Caenorhabditis elegans: one gene and its partner. The protein of the gene in region 1 interacts with the protein of each later gene in a pairwise test. Each region holds a gene or a part of one and is shown in the gene's direction. Other genes may lie near its edges.

The links. The genes of interacting proteins can lie anywhere in the genome.
Region 2: the proteins of unc-75 (region 1) and C16B8.3 interact in a two-hybrid assay, tested with the Caenorhabditis elegans proteins (one large-scale study listed by BioGRID).

Annotation. Positions count from the first base shown.
Region 1 is NC_003279.8:11,590,484-11,595,293, forward strand, and holds the start of unc-75 (RRM domain-containing protein), read left to right. Parts: upstream 1-1,762; 5' UTR 1,763-1,818; coding exon 1,819-1,923; intron 1,924-3,443; coding exon 3,444-3,537; intron 3,538-3,726; coding exon 3,727-3,821; intron 3,822-4,643; exon of another isoform or gene 4,644-4,715; intron 4,716-4,810.
Region 2 is NC_003284.9:3,967,619-3,970,230, reverse strand, and holds C16B8.3 (Annexin A7), read left to right. Parts: upstream 1-1,596; coding exon 1,597-2,091; downstream 2,092-2,612.

The DNA of each region.
Region 1 (4,810 bases):
TAGTTTTTGATACCTTTCGAACATGGTGCATCGACTCTCTTCGTAAAAAACAATGCTAAATACCAAATTTTCTCTAACTTTATATTACATGCCGTCTAAGTTGAATAAGGCCCATAGCTAGGTTTTGGACATGGTGCATCGACCAAGGCAGCTCTTTTCTCTGTAGGTTATCAAAAAGTGTCAACTATCTACTTTTTTACAATTATATAGTTGAGCACTTTCTGATGCTCCTTTCTAAACATTTTCAAGATCACAAGTGTAAAGTGTAACACCAAAGAATCCCCACAATAAACATGGCTTCCTGTTTTTTGTAATAGAACTGATATTCTGAATCTGTCAACAATATTGAGCTCTATTGAGCATCAGCTTTGTCAAATTTTGTAGCCTCTAATTTTGATGCGTTACACAGTCGCCGCTCAGCCAATTTCAAAACCCCCGCAAGGCTCTGAAAGGCAAAGATCTCCTTAATCGTGGCTCTTCTTGAGATGAGGTGCTCTTTCAAGCTCCTCCTCTCTCCCAATCTCTCACCACCTGCGTCTCCAGCGTCACGTCTTCATGAAGAGGGGTGCGCGAGTGGGGGGACTGAGCAGCACGGCTTCTTCTTCTTCTTTCTCTTTTCACTCTCTTTTTGGCTTCTTCTTCTTCCCCTTCAGCTTCTCGAACACTCACTAGCTTCCATGAATTGTAGCGGCTCTCTCTCTCACTTTCCCTGACTTAGTTACGCCACAATTTTATATTATTTTCGGGATTTTTTATATTCCAGTAATATTATTTCTTTGTGACGTGCTCGTTACTTCTGAAAATCTGTAAAAATTGAAGAAAAAAAATTAGTAGTCCAGGCCTAGAACTAGGCTTCCAAGGCCCTTATTTGAGTATAAAATTTAGTAGTTAAAAGGAGCATGCAAAAATTAAAAAAAATTTAATTAATTTCCAAAAAAACTTTTGTTTTTTTGAATGTTTCAAAAGGAGTTTTCCAGTTTTCTTTCTTACAATTAGTAAAAATGTTTTTTTTTCACTCCAATACTTTTCATTTGACCCCCATGGGTCCCGCCACGAAAACCTGCCGGACTACTGTAGGTTTCGTGGTGGGACCCAAAATAAAGAGACTTGGATGCCAAATGAAAAAATGAATACCTAGAAAAATTTTAAAAAAAGTTCCAGCGTTTTTGTAAAAAAAATTTTGCTGTGCAACTATTATACCCTCCAATTTTCCAGGCCATATACTTCGGTTCATTTTCAAAAAAAAATTTCAATTTCCTAAAATTTCCTCTAGAAAACTATAGAAAAAAAGTTTTTTAAAATAATTTTCTTTTCAAATTTTTGATGAAATCAAAGTAAACTGAGTTGCAGCACTATGTCTGATCTTTACCAATTTTTATGGACTATATCTCGGCCTATTTGAGCTATAATTAAAGAAATTTTACTACAAAAATATAGAAAACCACTTAATAAACACTTTGTCAGTTAATTTTATTTTGATAAAATTAAAAGCAACTGAGCTAAAAGCTGTAGAATAGCTGTAGACATATCTTGATCGATGCACTATGTCTGATCTTTACCAATTTTTATGGACTATATCTCGGCCTATTTGAGCTATAATTTGAACATTTTAACTACAGAAATATAGAAAACTACTTAATAAACATTTTGTCAGTTAACTTTGTTTTGGTAAAAGATTTTTCAATTTTTGTCTCTAATTTTTGTTCTTGCTTCCAAATTATCCATCTAACATATGTAAATTGTTGATTATTCACAAATTTGCAGCTTGTCACCATTCCACCGACAGTTGCACTTGCTCCGGCTCCGTCGGCTGCTGATATGGGGCAGCAGCAGCACGAGATGCGCGCCAGTAGCACCTCGTCGACAGATTCAAATGGGTTTCCGGTGAAGGATCCGGATGCTATTAAGCTTTTTGTCGGGCAGGTTGGTTGGGCTGAAAATTGAAAAAAATTGGGGTTTGTGGAATTTCTGAAAATATAGATTTTCAAAACTTTGTTAGACTGCGTGTTAGGTCCCGCCGCAAAGCAGGGGTACTGTAGTTGTCGTGGTGAGACCCACAACTTTAAAATTGGGGGGATTCTAGGCAATATGGGGGTGGATTTTTGTGAAAAGTTTTTGATTTTTTTTTGATTTTTCAATTTTCTTAGAAACCTTAACTTTTCCCATTTCCCTCTACAAATCGCGTGACGCTGATACCCTCCCTCTCTCCCCATTTGTGAAGCCCATTCTGCACCAAATTTGCTCTTTTCCCTCCCCCTCTACACCACGCGGATATCTCCCGGCGTCTCGCATACTCCATCGTCAGAGTGTGTGTCAAGTTTGTCGCTGTGCTCCGCGAGCAAGATCGATATGAGCACCCAGAAACCCGGGGGGACACAGGCGGTTCGGAGCATATTAGGGAATATTGGATTAAGGGAATATGAGTAGAAGGGAAACGTTTCTCATAGAATTTATAATTATATTCTATGAAAATCTAGAAACTAAAATTATTAGCTACTCAGTAGTTTTTACAGAACTTAAAAATATCGATTTTGAGTCAAGTTATGGCGATTTGAAGTTAGTGGCCTAGAATTTGAAAACTACTAATCACGCTAGTTACATTTTTCAGCTATAACTTATATTTTGAAATTTGAAAAAATATCGATTTTCAGGCAAGCTAGAGAAATCTGAAGGTGGTGGCCTAGGATTTTTCTAGGCCACCAACTTAAACTCACTTGAACTCGGCTCGAAGTCAACATTTTAAAGTCTGAAAAATGTTGTGATTTAAAAAAAAATAATAATTACTATTATTTTGTATCGTATCAAACTTTTTTGCGCTCAAAAAATATTGATTTAGAGCCAAGTTAGAGCGGTTTTAAGTTGATGACCTAGAAATGCAAAGTTAGGCCATGGATTGTTTTTAAAATTGCTATAATAGTGTTAACTGAGCACATTTTGTAACAATTTTCAAAATTCAGAAATTATGATTTTAAGCCAAGTTATAGCGGTTTTAAGTTGGTGGCATAGAAAAATCCTAGGCCACCAACTTGAAACGGTCATAACTTGACTGAAAGTTAATATTTTTAAATTTTGAAAAATGTATTAAACTTAAGAATATATTAATATATCTATTCTTCAAGTTTAAGTAATAATGGCCTAGTTTTTTGTGTTATTTGGTTTTCTAGGCCGCCAACTTTAAAATGATGTCACTTGGCGGAAAATCGATAATTTTTTAAAATTCAAAATGATGTCAGTGTACAAAACACTCGCAAAAAGTGAAAAATATTAAATTGATTTTCAGTTAATGGCCTAACATTTTGTATTTCTAGGCCACCAACTTCGAACCGTTTTAAAAATTACAAATGTAATAGATTTTATGAAATATTTAGCGTTGTAATAAATGTTTATAAAAAAATTTATTTGGAAATTTTTAAATTCGCAAAAAGTTATATCTAAGAATTCAGATCCCCCGAAACTTGGAAGAGAAAGATCTACGTCACCTATTTGAGCAATTTGGTAAAATATATGAATTCACAATTCTTAAGGACAAATATACAGGTAAGCAGAAAAATTAAACTTTTGTTTTTTTTTCAACAAAAAATGTTTTTGAAAAAAAAAATCCAAAAAAAAAAAATTTTTTTGCTAGATAAAATTTCCCCACAAAATTTTCTTACTACTACCAGAAGCCTGACAGGGTGTGGTTAGAGTACCGGAATCACGGTTCATTAGAAATTGAAATGCATTCAGGTATGCACAAAGGCTGCGCATTTCTCACCTACTGCCATCGAGACAGCGCCGTCCGCTGTCAGGCGACACTTCACGATCAGAAAACGCTGCCTGGAGTGAGTATTCGTTTGCCTTTTGGAAAAATGAAATGTTTGTTTTGAAAATATAGAAAATGCTCTGAATATTTGTTTTTAAAACTTTGAAAAATCTTGATTTGAATTAAAGTTATGGCCAATTGAAGTTGGTGGCCTAGAAACCCAAATTGATGGCCTAGAATTTTTTTCAATCTAAAATTTGAGTTGTTAGTATAGTAGATAAACATTCATACTGTATATCTAGTTTTTTAATTTCTGAAAAATCACGATTTTACGCAAAATTATGGTCAGATGAAGTAGGTGGCCTAGAAAATCAAATGGGTGGCTTAGAAAATTTAAAAATGTATATTTTATAAGTTCACTAGTTGAGTTTTCGCTAAGTTTTGTGGTTTTGAAGTTCGTGGCCTAGAATTTTCAAAATTGATAATTTTTAAAAAATTTTAAATTGAAAACACATTTAAAAATTCACTAGACTTTTCAAAAACATCAAAATATATTCAATTTTAACAAAGGTATGATATTTTAAAGTTGGTGGCCTAGAAATCCAAAAATCGGCCACGACCTCTTATTTTGCGTGGAACGTCGTATCGTGTTGGCAGCGTTTTTTAGAATTCAAAAACAACAATAAAGTTACAGAAGCTTTTATGTGATGGCCTAGAATTTTAACTGAAATTTCTAGGTCACCAATTTAAAATTTTTTGCCATAACTTGGTTCAAAATAATATTTTCAAAATCTGAAAAATGAAAAAAAAAAAGCTTGCCGACGATGACTCCATCGAATAGATCAAAAACTGAACTCAGCAAAAAAACGTGGCCTAACTTTCACTTTTCTAGGCCACCAAGGCCCAAAAAGTGAAACGCTTCAAACGGTGGCCTAGAAACTCAAAAAGCTAGACGAAAAGAAAAATTTGAGCAAATTGACCGCAGTTCCGTTGCGAAAAACGAATTTTTGCGCGGCGGCTTGTGCCGGAAATTTCTGATTGAATTTAGTATGCGCGCGCACAGGGGGG
Region 2 (2,612 bases), on another chromosome or scaffold:
AAATAACCATATGCATAATACATCAAAAGCATATAACCATTCGCTACAAGGAAAAAAGTAAGTGGGCCGGACCGGGGATCGATCCCGGGACCTCTCGCACCCTAAGCGAGAATCATACCACTAGACCATCCGGCCACGTCTCGTCGTGAACGCCTCTTCCTACACATGCACGCTCTCGTGAATAGCGCTCTGCGTGTGGTCGACTAGTCACAAACCAATAAACAAGTCTATCTGCGTCTCTACTAAACAAGAAAACTCTGAACGCAGTAAGCATTGACCTTGAAAATGCAGAGTATGACTTTTTCGAAAGTTTTGGTTAGGAATAGGATTTCTAACAATCAAAATTGCTAATCGTGAGAAATTGTTTTAATATAATTCAAATTACTTTTCATAATTATTATAATTTTCACAAATTGTTAAACTCGTAGAAGATGATGTAAATATGAATGTATTCCGCGATCAAATACATTAATAATACATAAAAAAATATTCAAAGCCTTTTCTTACAATTCCCCATAATTTTACTGAATGTGTCTCACGATTCGATCAAAATACAAGTTTTCAAAGTTACATGCTGAAAATGCTTAAAAGAGTAAAAGGAATGGGCCGAACCGGGGATTGAACCCGGGACCTCTCGCACCCAAAGCGAGAATCATACCACTAGACCATTCGGCCACATGTTTCCAATGTCAAAATCATGTGAAGACACTAGGTGGTCAGAGAACTGATCCGCAAACATGTTCGGAATAGAACAGGTGCGAAATGCATAGGCGCAGAAAATCTTAGCTAGGAAGTGTATTGATCGGCCTTTCTGGTTTGCAAAACGGACTGAAATAGTTATTAAAATTACACGGATTCAAGAACTAATACACAATAAAATTCATTGAAGTTGAAAAACAAAATTAAATCGTAATTGAGTTTCAAAAGTCTGTTAAAATTGTAAAAGAAACTTACAGACCCAATAGGGTTGAAAGTTGTCCGGATGGCTCAGTCTGGATGGTTGTCGCGGTCAAACTTAAGGTCAGCATTTCTTACCTCCAGACTACAGCCAGTCTTTCCTGAAAAGTCGAGCGAAGCTTGGATTTAACTTACAACAAGACCGACGGAGAGCAGACTGGCTTAATTCAAGAAAAAGTTTTGAATTTTAAAATATTGCCCTGATCTTTTCCATTCTTCCTGATAATTTTTTTGACGTTTGTATTTGATTGGCATTCCAGTTTGACATTTCGATATTATTCCTATTATAAATTCAAATGAATGTAATCTTCCTTCCCATTGAATCATCCAGAAGGTCATGTCCATGATCTATCCTCATGACTCATGGATTGCAAAGAAAGTTTCAAAATATACACTGAAAACGCCCTCGTTTCTTTTTTGTTCATTCGTTTCCATATACGTCATTGTTTGCTCTTCTCTATGGAAAAACGAGAAACTTCTTCTGACAATGCAAACTGATAACCGTATCACATTGTGAAACCTTCTCGTTTTTGAGGCAATAGGCGGATCGCAAACTAACAACTCACAATCGATCGTTTTTCAACCTTTCTGTTTGATTTTTTTCCCTTTTAAACCCCTCAACTTACACTTTTTCTTCAGATGTACGGCCGTCGCACGTGCAGTTCTTCCTCCTCAAGTTCTTCCTCTAGTGACGGTTCTTATCGTTCCCCAGTTGGCTTCGGTGTTACTCCAATTATGCCTCTTCCATATGGAGCCCCTCCACCACCAGTTGGCGCCGGAGTTGGATATGCTCCACCGCCACCAAGACCTTACGGAGCCACATATGCACCCCCACCACCTATGGGAATCGGTGCTGGAGTGAATCCTAGTGGATATGTCCAACAAGCCCCACCACTCCCAACCCAAGGATACTCGGCGTACAACCAACAACCACCTCCACTTCCACAGCAACCCTATCAAACTAACATGTATCCAAGCAACCCAGGATACTCAAGCACACCAGGCTATCCACAACAGCAGCCATATCAAATTGGAACCGGAGCCACGCCAGCCGGTATGTACCCACCACCACCAACAGGGCAATATCCTCCACCTCCACCCGGACAGTATCCAGGATATCCAAGACCATATTGAGTTAATATGTAAGCTTTTGTATACCTTTTGTACTACTAATCAATTTAATATACCATGTTTTTTCTTGCTGTTTGAATTGCCAAATAAATGTTAAAACTGTTCAATGTTCTTTTCAAAAATTTTAAGAAATACTCCAACAACTATTGGTTGGTTTGAGTGTCAGTGGCACGTGGAAATGTTTGAAAATTACCTTTAGAATAATTTTACTTGATTTGTCTATTTATGCATTCAACATTTATTGTTAACTTTCATAAATCCTATTGTTCCAATAGATGCAATATTGGACACATAATCAACTTGTCTAAATTAGTTCTGATTGTGGTTTGATATAACAGTTCGATACTATAGGTCTAGGAAATATTCGATTCGATGTCACAATATTAAACATAAATCTTCAAGTGATTTCTGTGAAAATCAAATGAATTCTATGATCTCCAGTAAGTCGGACGCTAATTCAACGAGTATTATTTGATTATTACTGGAACCCATCAAAGCAACTCTGGAACCCATTAAGAGTAAAA